3 linked regions of the Drosophila melanogaster genome follow. The protein of the gene in region 1 interacts with the protein of each later gene in a pairwise test. Each region holds a gene or a part of one and is shown in the gene's direction. Other genes may lie near its edges.

Region 1 (4,801 bases):
TTTGCCTTATAAACGAACAATATTGCTATTTCATTATAAACTATTCAAAAGTTAAGTGCTATGGTTGTCATTGGGTTCAGCATTGGGATTGGAGTGGATTTCCTATTGGTCCTGTGGATCTTTCATTCATCGGATCTGCGACCATTGCGGCTCCTGAGACCCCTTCTCCTTGTGATTTTCCTGACCTTCTTTGGCCTCTTGACCTTTCGCTTATAGTGAGTGACAGTCTTCTTTTTTGAGCTCGAGGAAGGTGAGGCTGTTGTTGTGGTGGCCGAAGCGGAAGTGGTGGTGGTGGCCGAAGCGGAAGTAGTGGTGGTCGCCGAAGCGGAAGTAGTGGTAGTGGCCGAGGCGGAGGTGGACGTGGTGGTTGTGGACGCCTCCGACTCGTGGATCATCACACAGCCGAGGAAGGTGGCGAGAAGTACGAGTACCACGGTGATCTTCATGGTGAGCAAATGCTACAATAGATGCCTTGCTACTGATGCTGTCTTGAAGAACGAAAGCCAGCTTTTATAGTAGTCTTCTCAACTGGGTTTATCCTCTTTTGCAAATTTTTGTCAACAGTTTTGGCCAAAACAAAGGGAGCGTTTTTGCAGAACAAAAAACCCGCAAGTTTGTCAATTGTTCATTGTGCCCAATTGTTCAAACAGTCAAGTAAGTTAAGTGCAAATATATAATATAACTTTTAAGAAATGCCCAATTATGTATGTCCAATTTATATTCGCTACGCAAAAGATATGAAAGATTTTGTTACGTAATTGCTTAACTGTGGTAATTAGTATAAAAGACCACGGCCTCTGGCTGCAGACATCAGTTGTCCAGCCACTGGCCATCCAACATGCGCTACTCCTGTGTTCTTTTACTTCTGGCCACCGTTGCCTGTCTGCTAATCCCACAGACAGGTGGCTCCACGGCCACCACAACCTCAACTTCTGCTTCGGCTACCACCACCACTTCCGCCTCGGCCACGACAACCACTGCGTCGGATACAACTACTACCACAGCGGCTACCACAACCACTTCGTCCTCCTCCTCAAAGAGTAAAAAGAAGAAGAGGACGTATCACTATACACGTCATGTTTATAGGCCAAAGCGGATACGACATATCTATAGGCACAAGGCCGACGACGACGAAAGCTCTACCGATCGCACCAGCACACGCAGCCGTCGTCGTCGCCGCAGCAGTAGCAGCAGTAGCAGCAGTGGCAGCACCAGTAGCCGCAGTGGTAACAGTCGCATCCGCCGCAGGAGAGCCCGAAGTGCCCGACGCCTGTCTTAGTGACCACATCTTGTACAACAAACCAACTGATCTGATCGTGACGCCTTTGAAAATGTAGTTTTTCTTTTTGGTTTTCTTTTTTCCGTTCAAAACACTTAAGGCAAATAAAATGAATATTTCGATATTAGTTCATTCTGCTTATCAATGCCGCTTAAAGCATTTACTTATGCTTTTACTTATGCATTTACTTTACAAAACAGATCGAGATAAGAAGCATCACTTGTTGTTTAAAGTGTATGTCAAGTTCGTTACAACGTATAATTAACCATTGAAATTTTGATCAAATAGTTACTTTCAGAAAAAATATAAAGGGCATACTCCTACAATAAATGCTATATATTATAATCTTAAGTATTATTATCTACCCCAGACGTTATTTAATATAGTTAATAATAGCGCTTTCCTAAGCTACGTACACAATGTGTTTGTTTGTCTATAATTCAGACAAGCTACAAATGAAAGTAAACAATTTATGGCAAAATCATTTTAATTGGTTAATATTTTTCCATTATTTGCTTAAGAGAATAAGTTTAAAGCTGATGTGTTCCGTGTTTTAAAAGCCGTAGTATACTTTTTAGGGGAAATTATTTAAGTGGCAGAATATATAGTTGAATATAGTATAGTATATAGTATATATATAGTAAAGAATCTATATATATAGTATAGTATATAAAGTTGAATTTTTCTGCAGTTTTTACAATGCGTTTATCGTATATAGATTTAACCTAAGTCATTTGCATTTATTTAAAAACCAAGTAACGGTTGACAAAACTAGACTTCCGTTGGCATTAGTGGCTTAAGTGATTTTTATAATAACAGTTAATAAATTTTCGCAAAATGACAAGCTCCATACAAAAATAGATTATCATGCCTCTTGTACATGTGCAAATTTTATCTGTTTAAACAATTGTGCCAATACGAAAAATAGCGAATTTTTGTTTGGCCAAAAATAACATCTTTTCTTTGGCTGACACAGTTTGGCCGAAGAGGATAAACCCAGTAGAGAAGACTACTATAAAAGCTGGCTTTCGTTCTTCAAGACAGCATCAGTAGCAAGGCATCTATTGTAGCATTTGCTCACCATGAAGATCACCGTGGTACTCGTACTTCTCGCCACCTTCCTCGGCTGTGTGATGATCCACGAGTCGGAGGCGTCCACAACCACCACGTCCACCTCCGCCTCGGCCACTACCACTACTTCCGCTTCGGCGACCACCACTACTTCCGCTTCGGCCACCACCACCACTTCCGCTTCGGCCACCACAACAACAGCCTCACCTTCCTCGAGCTCAAAAAAGAAGACTGTCACTCACTATAAGCGAAAGGTCAAGAGGCCAAAGAAGGTCAGGAAAATCACAAGGAGAAGGGGTCTCAGGAGCCGCAATGGTCGCAGCAGTAGAAACCGCAGATCGGAAGAATAAGAGATCCAGGACCAATAGAAAATCCACGCCACTCTCAATGCTGAACCCCAGGAACCAATTGTTTTCTTTTTTTTTTATTTCTTAGTCCATAAGCTTAACTAACACTACAATAATTCTTTTACAAGTCAATTAAGAAATCATAAAAAAATATACATATTTTGTGACATGTCAGTCAAATGTTATTTATTCAGTTATTGGCCAAACAAAATTTAGCAACTAGTTGTTTTGCACAATTGTTTAAACATTTGAAATGCCTTTACTTTATAAATAAATATATGATGCGCATAAATGTGTAAGTTCTTGTATATTTTTTTTAACATCTATAGTGATTTAGCTAATCATTTTATATTAATTTTCAGAACAAATATTTTATTCATGATCATCTGAATGTGAATGCGAAATCTGAAATCCTTTTTAATAAGTTGATTAAAATGCAGACGAGCATTAAACATTTATTCGTCAAGGCTTTTCTGGGCCTCAAAAGTTGCGTTTCCATTGAAATCCATTAGCACAAAACCGAACTCGAGGAAACCCGCAAAAGCCCCAAAAGGAAAATTTGTGCAAGCGGCAAAATACTCGTAAGCAAAAACTTTTCAGCCCAAAAAAGCGAATGGGGAAATTCGAAAAGCTGTTGCCATAGATACCGCACACTCACACACATATATATATATATAGGTACATATATGTATGTATGTATGTATGTGAGAGGAAAAACATTAAGAGAAAAAAACGGAAAACAACAGCCACGAATTCCATAACAAAAGAGGCGAGTCAGGTGGTGCCCAGAATATTTTCGAGCACGAAGACCACTACTGAGCAAACAGGCAGCTAAAACTCTTGTGAGTTGCCATTCCGCAATTAATTATTGTCATTTTATTAAAGCATAGTTTGCGGACTGGTTGAAAACGACCCTTTGGATATGCAAGAATAAACTCAAAGTTTTTGCAGCCATTGTAACAAAACTGAGACACTCCAGTTTCTCCAACATTTCAAAAAACCTTCAGCAGACTTTAACACATGAAGTGCATATGAAAATCTAAAATCAACACAACAAAATCATAAAAAAGATGGCTTAAATCAAGAAAATCAAGAATTCTGCAATTTCAACAAATCGAAAGACAAGTCCTCAATCATTTTTTGTCCAGCAAACGAGCTTTTTTTTTGTTTTTTTGCTACACAGTCCGCCCGATTGAGCCATAAAGCAGAATATATGTACGTATATTTGTTATTGATTTTTATTGAGACATTTGCAAAATTAATGTGTATGATGCGGGAGGGCATTTCCAACAACCGGGTAAAACTTCCTCGACTTGTCGAATGATGACCGGCATTAATAAATCAATAGCGTTTTGATGGCAAATAATTCGAGATCTGCTTCGGGTATGCAGCCATACGCATTGGAGCATCGATGGCCCACATCCTGTGTATCCTTTTGCCACATCCTCGAAACGCCCCACCGACCTTTGCGTCTTTCAATACCCAGGGGCAGTATACACAAATTCGTTACAATAGACCGAAATAACAGTAGTTTAGTACTATGAAGAATTGAATGTTTTATCGGTCAATTTTAGATATTCAACGTTACACATAAATAATGTTCATATGCTGACCATAATTAAAATATAAAAAAAAAAAAACACAAACCTGCAAGGTTAGTATGTATGTATCTATCTACGATTTTTGATGTGTATTCATGCTGTATACAAAGTTATTCCGCAAACTCGTGTCGAGTTATTTTATTGATTGATTCGAGTAAATCCAGTTCCTGTTACTCTTGCCAAAAAAAATACAATAAAAAGAAAACAACCAACAAGCGAATGCCATTAATTTTGCTGGGAAGTCCCTCACAATGGATCACAATGAAAACACTGACTTGCTGTGGACGCACCGCCGTGACATAAAGGTCGATATGGGTATGATGGAATGGGGGGGCAATGGCACATCGCTGAGCTGCCCCCAAATGTCCTGGGCAAAATGTCCTGCGCCCACTGAATTAATGAACAAATCCAAGATTCAAGGCAAAGTCGGGGAGTTAAATCGAATGAATTACCCTACAATTGGTAAGTTTCATCAAATATAAATAGTAATGCGAAATCAATCG
Region 2 (8,047 bases), on another chromosome or scaffold:
TTCGGCACAAAAATGGGCACTTCCTCGGATGTGAACTGAAGGTTTAAAGTGACTAGAAAATGGTATAATAACTTAGTCAAAAATCCAAGAAGGATATTGACGCAGTGTTCTAAGACAGCTAAACTCATAAGCTTATTAAAACAAAGATATTAAATAAGAGGAGATATATATTTCAAATTTTCCTACATTTTAGTTTTCTCTATACTATATACTATCCAAAAAATATTTACATTTATTTTTCTCTTTTGCTGCAGCGATTCGACAGTAGTCGTAGCCCTTCACCAGACCTTGTTTTACCTAATTACACAGAAAGCTGCTTCCCCAGCCATTTCGTTTCTCCCTCTAATTGTTTAAGTGCTTTTAGCGTTTGGCCAAACAATTTTCATATGCAATTCGGACATCAGTCGCAGTGCAAACAAACTGAAAGAGTTAACAGAAAGCATAAAGATGTGTGTGGTGCACCTCGCCTTTATTTTAAGTTGTTGGATTTGGGTTTTATTGCTGGGAAATTCTCACACATTGTCACAAATTGAGAGGGTAGATTGAGGCTTTCCGATGTGTAACGTGAGAGCTGGGGTCCAAAAGCTTGTGGCACCTGACTAGCCCAGCTTGTGGCACATATATAAAAATAAAAACGCAAACTTCCGTTAGCTGCATGTGCAGCAATCACTGTGTGTTTCGTATCTGGTTTTTGAAAGGAAACTACGCAGTCTTTACCTATGTAGAGCACTTTGGCAGTTTACAAGCCAAAGATACTTTTCTTACAAGCCGCTGTTATGGCAATTTGTTTGCATTTCCTGCATTTGTATTCAAGTTTATTATTATACTTCGCCAAAGCCTTTCTCTAAGAAGTCAGCAAAACTGTTTAATTTCTTGAAACAGATCTTTAAAGGCCTGCAATTTTATGAATGTTTCATCAAAGAGCAAATGTAAGGTTTTAGTATGAGAACCAATAGTTGGTTTATTATTCAAAATAGGTTGTGTACCCCATTTAATAATGTAGAAATTGAACCAACAATTTAATTTAGATTTCAGTTCAGCAAAAGAGTAGAAACGAAAAAAATGTTTGCCAACAAAGTTAGGCAAATCAAATTTTTTTACTTTAAATAAATTGTAAAGACGAGTTTTGAAATACATGTTTAAAGGCTAAATTTATCTCTCTTGGCAACGAAAATTTTCCAAAACTACTTCTGTCATAAATTATGTATATGTATTTATTTTCTCTCAAAGGCAACAAATCAAATTCATAAAATCCTATGGTCAAGCAACTATTAACAGTTGCCTTGGCTTTCAATACGCAAAGATGCCTCAAATTTGGGTAATATGGTATAAATTTAACAAGTTTACTTATTGGTTAGTTTATGAAAGATACAGAAAAGCAGTCGAAAAAGATTTGCATCTCGGTACGATAAATAAATTTTGTGTGCGAAATTCTCGGAGACGGAAATATGCCAGTTATGTCGGTGGGGCAGGGGGGCTTGGCTGTGGAAAATGTGGAGGAAAACCGCATGCCGTAAGGCCCGGAAAATGTGCCCCACCCCGGTCCCCTCTGATCCAGCAACATATGTTGGCACAAAGTTATGGCCATTTAAAGTTGATTTTCTTGTTGTCACAGTTGTTTTTTTCCCGTTCTTTTTTTTGTGATTTTGCCGAGTTGTAAATAGTTGTTTGCTCTGCATGCCAAGAATGAGAAATGCATCTCAAATGTATCAGATGACACAATATTTTTTGAGAAATACTCGAGTGCAACACTTTCGTGTCCTCGAGATACAAACTCGCAGATACAAAAATATCAATTTCAAGTGCGTCACATTTGGACTGTAAACCGCACTAAAAGGCTCCACTTAGGCCAGGACATGTCTGCGGCCCATAAATATCCATCTAGCTCCTATTCTGCGTAGGACTATGTACTTTTTATGGGGTCTTAATTATGCCACAGCACTTGGGCTGTTTTAGTTTTCTCTTCAGTTTTGTTTTTTTTTTACTTTTTTCGTTGACTATTTCAGTTCTAGTTTTAGGTTTTATGGGCGACAGCATTTCGTCGAGGACGTGCGGCTCGTTCAACGTGTGAGTTGCAATTGTCGGAGAGCGAGCCTGGATATATGGGGCACGTATAGCCAGATAAATGAGTGGAAACTTCGAGTGAAACTCGCCACACTGAGTTCTCCATCGAGAGAGACAACTAGAGATACATTTGTATCCGACACTCACAACCAGTTCCGACTACCTGCTGGCGGGTTTATCTGAGAGAACTCGCCTTCGCAAGGCCGTCTCGCCTCAGCCACGCCGCTCTTTTTACCCATGTCCGATGCAGCTGCCAGCCACCACCACCACCACCACCATCTCATACCGCTCAAACGGCTCTGTTACCGCTCTGTACCGCTCAACCACCCCGGCAAAAGTGGCCAGCCGAGGTATCGTTTGTGCAGCAGGCACTTCGTAAAATCAGTGTAGTTCGTTGCCTCGTCGTGAGCGGTTGTCTGCCAGCTATAGAGACCCAATTGCGACCAAGTTCCTCTCTCTTACCAGAGTTGGTAACACGAAATACGTAAATTCAAACGGAAACCCGTCGAACGCCTAACAACAACTTGAAGCGTGCAGTCAAAGCGAACCATTGGATTATCGCGCACGTTTCACAAACAATCAGCAAACAAAAAAAAAAAAAACGAAACAAGCAATACAACAAACCAAAATTTTAATTTTGAACAACACACATGTTTTAGTTGAGCAAATGTGACAAAACAAAAAATTGGCTATTCAAAATATTTTTCCAAAAGTGAAACAGTGAAAACGCAAACACATCACAAAATACAAACAAAAACCGAAACACTGCATTTTGCATTTTATGTTCTGTTCACCAACGATTTAATCTGCTGAAAACTAAAAATTGTTGCCAAGCAATCATCAAAGAAAAACATTAGGTAAGTTTCACTTGTGGCATACAATGTGCATTTTATAAAAGTGCTGAAAAAGTGGAATATTGTGGAAATTAGAATACCGGAAGAAAAGTTTCAACAAAATAAAGTTAGGCTGCCAGAAAATATAAAATACGAAAAATATAATTGGAACATTTTAATTTTGTTCAGTTAAATTACTGACTTTAAATATTTATTGAGTTTGAAATTTCTAAAATGAGAATTTATTAGGACCGAAACATTAGCAACTTAATATAGATTTTTCCAACACCAAATCTAAAAATATATCCAATATGAAATACTTGTGAAAACATAAAAATGTTTGCTTCAAGAACCCTGTAAATTTTAATCAATAGAAATAGTTCCACGAAAATAGGCTAATTAACCGAACTCACAGAAAAGACAGAAACTAATTTTGAAAATTTTTCCCTCGTTTGTCTACCCGCAGCACTATGGAAAACTGAAAAAATCAACAGAAACTCTGAAAGAATTGAAACAGCAGCACAGAGCGAAGCAAACCGAAAGACAGAAATCAAAAGAGAATCAGAGATCCCAAGATGCAGCGAAACATGATGATCGCCTTCGTGGGCATCTGGTGCATTTTGGCCAGCATTGGTGTGGAGCCTGCGGCGGGCTTGGCCAATTGCCCGCCCGGCTGTCAGTGCGATGATAATACCCTGGTGGTACAATGTGGCGAGGGCCAGCTGGACGTGCTGCCCATTGCTCTGAATCCATCCATCCAGCGACTGGTGATTAAGAGCAACAAGATCAAGACCATCGACTCGTCCATCCAGTTCTACGCGGAGCTGACCTTCCTCGATCTGTCCTCGAATCACCTGATGACCATTCCGCAGCGCACCTTCGCCTATCAGAAGAAGCTGCAGGAGGTGCATCTGAATCACAACAAGATTGGGCAGATCAGCAATAAGACCTTCATTGGTCTGTCGGCAGTTACTGTTCTGAATCTGCGTGGTAACCAAATCTCGGAACTTCACCAGGGCACCTTTACTCCTCTCCTGAAGATCGAGGAGCTGAATCTGGGCGAGAATCGCATCGGCTATCTGGATCCCAAGGCTTTCGATGGACTCTCCCAGTTGCGCATCCTTTATCTGGATGATAATGCCTTGACCACCGTTCCCGATCCCGTGATCTTCCAAGCCATGCCCAGTCTGGCTGAGCTGTTCCTTGGAATGAACACCCTGCAGAGCATTCAGGCTGATGCCTTCCAGGACCTGAAAGGACTTACTCGCCTGGAACTCAAGGGTGCCAGTCTACGCAACATCTCCCACGACAGCTTCCTCGGCTTGCAGGAGTTGCGCATTCTTGATCTTTCCGATAATCGTCTGGATCGCATTCCCTCCGTGGGTCTCAGCAAGCTGGTTCGTCTGGAGCAGCTGTCCCTGGGTCAAAACGATTTCGAGGTGATCAGCGAAGGCGCATTCATGGGCCTGAAGCAACTTAAACGCCTGGAGGTGAATGGAGCTCTTAGGCTGAAGCGTGTGATGACCGGAGCCTTCAGCGACAATGGTAACCTGGAGTATCTGAATCTATCGTCCAACAAAATGCTTTTGGAGGTTCAAGAAGGTGCCCTCAGTGGGCTGTCCCAATTGAAGCATGTTGTTCTCAAGGCCAATGCGCTGACTTCCTTGGCAGAAGGTCTGTTCCCGTGGAAGGATCTTCAGACTCTGGACCTTTCCGAAAATCCCTTGTCCTGCGACTGCCGTGTGATGTGGCTGCACAATCTGCTGGTGGCCAAGAATGCCAGTCAGGATGATGTCTCCGAACTGCTGTGTGAGTTCCCCGAACGTCTGCGCGGTGAATCCTTGCGCCATTTGAATCCTGCTATGATGGGATGCACACATGCCGATCCTCGCAAGCAGGCCTTGATTGGAGCTCTCCTGGTGGGATCTGCTGCCACGATTACCGCCTTGGCTTTGGTTCTGTACCGCTGCCGTCATAAGATCCGCGAAACCATCAAGGGCGGTCTGTGGGGTAACTCGGCTCTGGGCCGTAAGGAACGGGAATACCAGAAGACCTTCTGCGACGAGGACTACATGTCGCGCCATCAGCATCATCCCTGCTCCCTGGGCATCCACTCCACGTTCCCCAACACCTATACCGCACCTCATCATCCCGGAGCTACCCATCACTATGGAATGTGCCCGATGCCTGTCAATGACCTGGGCGCCATCGATCCCCAGCAGAAGTTCCAACAGTTGGTAGTGCCCACCGCCACAATGATCAGTGAGAAGAAGCTGAATAACAACAAGGCCCTGGTTTCACAGGGAGCCATCGACGACAGTGCCTCATTTGTGCTGCACATGAAGTCGGCCACCATGGGTCGGGATGTGCATCAGCAGAATCCCCAGCTGAACCACTATACCAAGCCGCAGTTCCTCTCGGCCACGGCTACAGTTGGTGATTCCTGCTACTCATACGCGGATGTGCCCATGGTGCATGGCGCCCCGTTGGGTGGACCGAATCAGCCGCAACTGCGACTGACCCAAGAGCACTTCAAGCAGCGTGAGCTATACGATCAGGAGATGGGCAGCGAGATCCTGGACCACAACTACATCTACAGCAATACCCACTACTCGATGCCGTTGGAGCAACTGGGTCGCAGCAAGACGCCCACGCCGCCACCGATGCCACCAGCTTTGCCCCTGCGGAATGGACTGTGTGCCACCACAGGACGCAGATCCTTCCAGCAGAAGTCCGCCTCTCAGAAGCAGCAGCAGAACAACAACACCCTGCGTCAGTTCACGCACTGATCCTCGACCTATCGACGCAGGCAGCTGAGCATCTATGCTTAGTAGTCCGCTGCCCAACACTGTGATGCCAAAACCCCCAAGAAGCCCACTAAAACCACTCACTCCCCTCCAGACACAATTAGCGTGTAGTTAGGCGTAAGGAAAACATTGTAGTAGCTGTAATCGAAATACAACCTAGGCATTAAGTCAGAGAAAATCTTGCCTTGTACATACTTAACTTTAAAGCACTCTTTCGAACCTATAGAACACTGAAGGATCTCCAATTCTATCAGCACTTTGCCAACACTACTGTTTTCCTCGTCCCCCTCCGAACATAAGTTAATCGTAGTCTTTAAGATGAATTGTAAATGATATACGAGTTTAGATAAAGACAACAAGCACTGAGAGTCAACGTAAGCTTAATTTTAACTTATTTAATTTATTGTTAAATGCAAAATCGTATCAGATGCAAACAACTATTTATGTATTAGTTAGAACAAGAAATTTATGCAAATTTAAGCGACAAAACAAAATATCAAACGAAAACAGAAAATATACGCAATGAAAACAAAACTCATTTGAAAACTAAAAAATACAACTGTGTGTGTTCATTCTGCTCTTAATTTAGCAGATTTTCCTTTCAGCCAGCATACTGCCGTGGAAATTTGCCTTTAATTATACATTTTCCCTGTGCACCGGCAACTTTTCCTCTGTGTCAATTTGTCTCGACATTTTCACTTTTTTTTCCACGAGCTCAAAACTTTTGACTTTCAATTCAATTAAAAGTAAGTTGAGGGCTTGCATACCGTGCTCGGGGGAATAAAAAATGCAGTAAAATTAATATACTATTATTCAATAGTAACAAGCTTGAAAACTTTTGCAGACCCGACTCAAGCAGAGCGTGGCAAGTGGGGAAGAGGTATAATTTTCAATTCAATGTGCATGGAAACACATGTGTAACTACTACCATATACAAATATATATGTATAAGTGTATATATGGGTACAGCCACCCCTTCATTGTCACCTGCAATGCAGCTGCCACCTGGCGGACCAGAAAGTTGCCAACTCACCGTCGAAGTTTGCCCCTGGGAACCCTCAAGAACCCTATTTTTCGTTGGTTTTCTCTTTTCGCTCAATTTCAAGCCAAATCGAAACCTATTTAGACAATTACGAAAATAGAAATCATTTCAGAACTTCCAGCGAGCAATGTACGGTAATAACAATAAATAAATAACAAAGGCAAATAGCGGCCAGAACCAAGCCCCCCAAATGGCCAACAATAAAGGCGGCTAAGAAAGAGTAAAGACCAGATACTCAACCTCTGACTGATTTCCCCATTGGATTCCGGCTGCTGGCGGGGAATCCATCATCAAATTTCGATTAAAAGGCGCGTGTACTCGAGATTCGACACTCAAGAACGAGAAAGAGTGAGAGAGAGCTAAGACTTGAGAGTCATTCGCACTATTCAAGCTTCATTAGGAGGCAAAGTAACGAAAACATTTTGATTTCGATCATTACAATTTCCTTTCATGGCCTCCAGTTGAGTGAAAGAGCTACCGAAGGGGCCGCTGGCAAGGGTTAGTGGATCAAGCTTACGAAGCAAAAGCGAATGTAATCATTAATTCGCCTCAACACACGCTCAGCCGCAGATACGGATACAGATACAGATACATGGCGATATGGTCGCAAAGATACGGACTCCAACACCGAGATACATTTACAGATTGTGTTCCACCCGAAACGGATTCTGAGTGAAGACTCGGAACCTCAAAGCCCCAGCTACCCGAAGGCAATAATTATCGAACCGAAAGCCCGACTGGTCCACATGTATATTGAAGACCATTGTGGCCCATCTGGCTGGCTGATTGTATGATGACCATGTTGAAAATGCTCATTAAAGGTACTTCAGAAATTAAAGCATTTCACAATTGTTCCAAAAGCGAGAGCTCCCCCAGATCAGGTTTAGAGTTCAGAGAGATTGAGATTTCGTTTTCGATTCGGCCCGCCATTTATCAGATGTTGTTATCTATACTTGGCTTTTGGTCTTCGTTCCGAAGCTCAATTAACGTGGTCTTGAATGTCTTTCTGAGGTCAAACTTGGGGGCGAAACCGATGATTTTTGGTTGAATGTAAAAGGGGTAAGGCTAGAGAGAAAAGAAAGGCTAGATTTAACACTTAAATTCATTCTTCTGGCTGCTTTCATAGAGTTGCTGGTAATTTCATTTTTCCGCTGCCACAATTACATAGTGTTAACTTTTGCGGCTGGTTTCTTTAAAGAATAAAAGGAAATATTCTAGTTTTTGATAAGTGGGACACTTCGGTTTTCAAAGTGTTAAGAAAGAAGTATAATTGATGCCGAATGCTAGCATACCTAATACGA
Region 3 (6,337 bases), on another chromosome or scaffold:
AAACATGTATACTTCCTAGCCCTGTGGACATGGCGCATCCGTTCCAACGGCCACTTACGTCCTCAAATAGGCTGCCAACGTTTGCCGTGACCAGAAACACATCCGTGCTGGACGCGTCTTCCTGTGCTGACTCCATTTGATCCCACTTTCGCCTGCGATGCAACAATTTTATTCACTTTTTATCAGCGTTCCAATTGTAAATACTAATTGAGTCAAGGCGCAGTGTGACCATACCGCCTGGCGAAAACTAGGCCATTTCGATTATTAGCTTTTAAGTGACCGTAATCGTTTATATTTCAAATATATTTATGCATATCTCTGCAGTTTTTTAATTAAACTTATTTATTTCGTTTACATTGAATAATACAATACCCCTCACGAATTTAAATAGTTAAGCTTCATTTCTTTCATATTTTGTTAACTTTAGGTTTCAGAATCGTAATTAGGTCACTTCCGGCAGTGACCGAGATAAAAGTAACGGTAATATCATGAGTACAATGGCCAGTTAAAAGTAGATATAAACAATTAAATGGCACAGGGAATAGAAATTAATGGGTTTGGACAAAGCAATAACATTGAAACTTGCAGGTTTCTAATGTTTTACAGTTCTTTGATCCTTAATATTATTATTTATCCTATTATCTTGACTAAGTTTTTGAATTTCAGTGTAACTGCAATTAAATGCGTATAAATGCAGCTCGAAATTAACAATTCATGCGGTGTGGTGGCACATTAAGCAATTTGGTGATCCGTTGTCTATATTATAAGCATATCCGCCGACATAAAACTATTAAGGCCCATTAAGACCTACGGTGTACATCATCTTTTCATTCAAACAGCTTACAGTAGTTACTGCGTACTGCGTATGACGGTTTCAATCTTTGACAGAATTCCTAAGTATCTTCAAAAGTATTACAACCGCAACACTTGTCCGAAATGTCTTCAATTTGTGTCACTTATGCAAATCCGTAATTCCCACAAAACGGGTTTAACAATTTGTCAAAAATTCGATGTCAAATGCCCAAATGAAACACAAACTGGCAAACACTATATAATATAGGCGGTTTGCTATTTCCAGGCTTTTTGAAAGTTGGGTAGTGAAAGTTGTATTGAACTCTGTGCGTCTCTTTCGAAATCTCCAACACAATCCAAGCGATTGCACGTAGCATGAATACTGAACAGCACGTGAGACGGTAGCCACATTTCTTGCAAGAATACACAAGTGAATTCAATTCCTCCACTCCGGCTCCACGCTGCACATATATGCCCTATAAGTGGGGGCCAAGCCTTACGGGGGAAATGCGATGGCAGTTATAAATACTTGCACACACGTCCGTCCACCTGATATTTTCTTTGCCACAATGTTTTCGGCCCCAAATTTATAAAGAGACGGACGGCAGGCAAACCGTTTATTGTACTTTTAGGAACCGCTTAACTCATATCTCAACGCGATCGCAAAATGCGTACCGAATACCTGGTCGTTCTGATTATATGCACTTCCTGCATTTGCATTAGTGCTGGAGATAGCTATTCCGGGGATATTCAAAGCTCGAACTCATTGGATTTCGGTGTGTGAAAGATAATAGGGATCAAAAGAGATTCTAAAGTGCTGAAAAACCTTATAGTAAAGCAAACTGAAAGTGAAATTAATAATATACACTTACAAATATATGTGTTTCTGTACTATCAATTGGCACTGAGTGCTTAAAACGATAATTCAGTGTACAAACAACTATTCAAATCTTTATGACAGAAGTCATTGGATTAACTTCTTGGATTATCCTTGAATGCTAAACTTATAAGATTCTTTCGCATTTATTAGGCAACGATAGTGGGGGCTACAGCTACAGCTCCCCGCCGAGCAACAGCTACTTGCCTCCAGCCACACCTGCTCCGGAGTACCTGCCTCCGCCGAACAATGGATACCAGTACAATCCGCCGCCGAACAACAACTACCTGCCACCGCCTAACAACAACTATCTGCCTCCTCCTCCTGAATATGGACCGCCAGCTGGCTATCCTTCCTATGGACCACCACCTCCTCCGTTTTACAAGCCAGCTCCGTTCATTCCCTACCATTCGCACGACTCCATTCTGGAAAAGCTTAAGTCCAAGATCAATCTGTATACGCTTGGAAAGATTTTGCTCAAGCTGTTGATATTCAAGAAAATCGTCAAGTTCATCGGCCTGATTTTCTTGCTCTTGGTTCTGCCGAAGCTGAAAAACATTTTCAAGGATGATATGATGTCTGGATCTGGTGAGAGCGATGGCATGGAAAGCAAACTTGTAGAGACAGATAAGGGTAAGGTGTTTCTATATAGTGCTTTAAGCATTAATTATTAATATTTATATTTCTCCCTTTTACAGATAAACTAGCCCAACAAATTGAGAACCTATACGATTTTGTAATAAACTCGATAGAAAGTTTTGAAGGAAGAAGTTCGTAGATCAATACCAAAATTAGTTATAAATGCATTGTTACAAATTGTATTACACTTGATTATTTATTTGTTAAAGTCTTATAAATAAAAGTATTTCGTATTTTACTCTTGTGTTTGAACTTGGGGCATATCATTGATTCAGACTGGTTCTTAAATCAATCCAACATCCTGATGGCTTGATACGCTTAATTAGGTTCTTGAACAGTACTCATTAAGTAGTCGGCCTATCTACCAGAATATTAGCCAAGGTACACATTTGTACCTGCAAACGTACCTAGGTACGAAAGCTGTCACCTTGCGCATCACTGGCGACGATACATTTCGCCGACTATCGATAGACGGGCTCACTCTGCGTCCGCATCCAAGTTGCGATCGGATTCATTCGCATTCGCCAGTGATCAACTCCGCTGCTGCAGATCCACAGCCAAAAAATGCTGCACATAGTATCGGTTGTTATTATAGCCCTGAGTCTGGGCTGTGCCGTTGGCCAGGATTTGCGGCGTGTGGACGACACCGAGTTGATTCAACTCCTGACCGGCAGCAGCAATGTGGTTGTCCTATTCAGTGAGTATTGGTAGGAAAGTCAGCCAGAGAAATCCAGCCTACGTGTCCACTGTGCATATGGAGGATGGTACACCGGTTACTGGCTAACGAGCACACTTAATTGCAGACAAAAACAATTGCCAGCGCTGCGTGGAATATGAGAACATGGTGACCAAGATACGTGCCCAGCTGGAGGAGACCTTGTCGGCCATTGTGGTCCAGTCGGTGGACAGCAACCTGGTATCCATCTATGACCCCAGCAAGGAGCCCGCTTTGGTGTTCTTCAGGCGAGGAATACCCATTCTATACCATGGCGAGATCAACGATGACGAAATCCTAGACTTCTTCAATGACAACTTAGAGCCAGCGGTCAAAGAGCTTTCCGACGACAACTTCGAGCACCTGACTCAAGCCTCGTCGGGTGCCACTACCGGGGACTGGTTTATCTTCTTGTAAGCTATATTAGTCATGCGTTGAGGTCGCCATCTAAGCGTCATGAGATGTACATATATGTGCACATATGCTCACCTACACCCACTTCCAGCTCTTCGGCCGAATGTACCGTCTGTCAGCGACTCTATGCCGTTTGGGAGTCTGTGGGCGGAAAGCTAAAGCGAAAGCTGAATATTGCCCGCATGAACAGTTTGGAGTCTGGAATCTCAACTGCTACGCGACTGGGAGTATTGGAAGCACCGGCTTTTATTTTGTAAGCCCTGATCGCTTTGGTTGTGTCCAAGAATAGATTATATAAATTATAATCATTACAGCTTGAGGCAAGGAAAGATGTACAAATATTCAGCCAAGCAATACAGTCCCGAAGCCTTTGTCCAGTTTGCTGAGAAGGGATATACCCAGAGCCATCCTCAACCAGTGCCCGCAATCCCAAGTGCCGTGTAAGTATTCCTCTCATAGCTAAAATGATTTTAAATTCATCCATCGATCGAATTTTAAACTCAAAGTCCGATTATGACCTTTTTATAGGGATTTGTGAGAAACTGATACATGTGTTTAGTAAGTGAGCCAAGATAAAACTTGTAAACCTATTAATAATTACTATTAGTTAACAAATACTGATTCTTTGTCCCCGGTACAAGGTTGCATATAACGCCAGTTTGAGGGTATTCAACATAGACACTGATTCCACCATCGAGCATAAAACAATTGTTAATATCACTCCGTTGATTAATATCGAACCAAATGTTAATCGTAACCGTTGTATATTATCCAGTTTGTACATAAACAATATTACATTAATCAATTATACCCTGGTTAAAACAGTTCCTGGTTTGAGAAGATCGAATTTAATACTACACAACGTTTATCCTAATAACCAATGATCAAATGAGCTAATGTTTTAACTTTCGTGCTTTTCAGAAACGAATTTTTGGGCCCACTGCAAAGTTATTTTGCAGCTGAAAACATAACATCGCTGGCGACTTTGAGTATTTTCGCCTTAGTTGCTCTCTTATTCGTTGGCAAAAAGGTTGCCAAAATATTCAGTTCAGAGCCTGCGAAAACAAAAAATAAGTCGAAATAAAACTAATATAAAGACTAAATGAAACACGACGTTTTTGAATTAGTCGAGTGACAACAATTAGCGGAAAAGTGGGCGCGAAAATTCAACTGCTGCAATTCCTAACGCCACAAAAACTGGCAGCTCTTTTGGCTGGAACGGTGGAAGCGGAACATGCAAATATGGATACCTAATATCGCAAAAGATCCATTGTTCACTGGCGCACAACGCTGACAATACCTATATCCTATCTCTTGATTGCTTTCAATTAATTAGCGGGCAAGCAAACAAAAATATTTAGATCGGCCCATTTAGCAACTGGGCTCGGAGTTCAGGGGCTAACTCGGCTAGCAATCTAGCCAATTGCTTAAGTGCGATGATAGTTTGGCGTGGAACGCTCAAATTAAAGCAGCGTTTCGTTTCGTAAAGCGTGAGATTCGCGATCGTGTTGTTAGGCAGTTTTTTTTTATTTGTTTCGCAGCGGTCATCGTTGGCGTAAGCGTATTCCTCGGAACCTGGATTTTTTGTATCTTGGGGTAAATCACTCAAAACACGCTATTTATACACCCGCTGATACCCAAATACACGCAAATGTACCCGAATTGGTGTTGGTTAAAACACAGTGCTCGCTAAATGTCAGCTGACGTCAGAAGGTCTTGAAAAAAGAGCGAGGAGTACACACGAACACAAAAACGATTACGAATACGAGTGGGACGTATATATGTGTAGTGCGGTATATCGATATCGGTAGATCGAGAGAGAACACTACACTCACACGACACTCACATTCGCATTCGCAGCGACTTTCGATTGAGATTTTGGTTGGCTGTGGCTGTAGTCAAGCGAGCGCACATGAGTCAGATTCGTAGCTTTTGTTTTGTTCAGTCGAGTGCGAGTTCTGTGCGATTCAGATACTCGCTGCCATCCGAACCGAACTGAAGTCCAAGTCGAATCTAATGTGCGTACTTACGTGTAGAACAGTTCAAGAAAATGTGCAGACATTCAACGGTCGCATTTGTGTGGATGTGTGGTTGTAGTGAAGAGTGCCAGCATTAATCGCATTTTTCCCCTGCACGAGCACCACGACTAGAAAATACTCGACACGTCTGTCTGTTTTTCTGCTTTATTGCTTCTACGCTATTCTGCTTTTCCGTTTCGGTTTTCCTCCGCTTGGCCTAGTGAAAAACAACAAATTTGATTATATTGTGTAAGTTATGTCTAGCATTGAAAAGATGAAAAGTGTCATTCCTATAAATACACCACCACCTCGGGAAAGGCACTCGCAATAGAGAAACTGGCCAAAACCCAACAACAAACATAACAAACAAAGGAACCGCTGAATATAACCAAACTTCGGAGTAGGGGCTGAGCTAAAAAGTATAGTGCGCAGCCATCATGACTAACTCACCACCCAAAACGCCAGCCCAATTACAGAAAATCGATATTCTAGTCGCGCTGTAACGCTGCGTAGCTGCTAAATACACAGCTCCCTACCTGCAAACAACCCGAATACAAAAAAAAAAAAAAGAAAACTACGAATAACAAAACAGTCAGGCGAGGCATTAGTATACCGAAAAGCGAAAACCACTTCCGCCAATGGTCGAAATCGCCGTCGCCATCTCGACATTTAGCTAGCCATATAGCAAATGTCTTTACATATCATACCGATATAATAGAAACCATCTGTGATACGCGTGTACCTTAAAAATGAACTAACTTTGCACCGATCGAGGGTATCACTGGGAAATTAACGATGCGTCTTGTCCGCAGTAAATGTTGTCAACGTGATGTTTCTGTAACCGACTATCTGAACACCCCGCATCCGCACCAGCACCATCCA

Evidence for each region.
Region 2: the proteins of ng2 (region 1) and trn interact in a two-hybrid assay, tested with the Drosophila melanogaster proteins (one large-scale study listed by BioGRID).
Region 3: the proteins of ng2 (region 1) and CG11790 interact in a two-hybrid assay, tested with the Drosophila melanogaster proteins (one large-scale study listed by BioGRID).

Annotation. Positions count from the first base shown.
Region 1 is NC_004354.4:3,238,095-3,242,895, reverse strand, and holds ng2 (new glue 2), read left to right. Parts: upstream 1-2,324; 5' UTR 2,325-2,361; coding exon 2,362-2,700; 3' UTR 2,701-2,870; downstream 2,871-4,801. Other genes in the region: ng1 (new glue 1), read right to left, coding at 123-446; ng3 (new glue 3), read left to right, coding at 839-1,279.
Region 2 is NT_037436.4:13,111,826-13,119,872, forward strand, and holds trn (tartan), read left to right. Parts: upstream 1-2,445; 5' UTR 2,446-2,921; intron 2,922-3,363; 5' UTR 3,364-3,472; coding exon 3,473-5,686; coding exon of another isoform or gene 5,687-5,728; 3' UTR 5,729-6,252; downstream 6,253-8,047.
Region 3 is NT_033777.3:25,044,914-25,051,250, forward strand, and holds CG11790 (uncharacterized protein), read left to right. Parts: upstream 1-2,792; 5' UTR 2,793-2,872; coding exon 2,873-3,005; exon of another isoform or gene 3,006-3,111; coding exon 3,112-3,436; intron 3,437-3,528; coding exon 3,529-3,690; intron 3,691-3,751; coding exon 3,752-3,877; intron 3,878-3,965; coding exon of another isoform or gene 3,966-3,975; exon of another isoform or gene 3,976-3,995; intron 3,996-4,358; coding exon 4,359-4,521; 3' UTR 4,522-4,542; downstream 4,543-6,337. Other genes in the region: 5PtaseI (inositol polyphosphate-5-phosphatase type I), read right to left, coding at 59-136; CG11786 (uncharacterized protein), read left to right, coding at 1,460-1,568, 1,823-2,302, 2,368-2,447; CG11791 (uncharacterized protein), read left to right, coding at 6,251-6,337.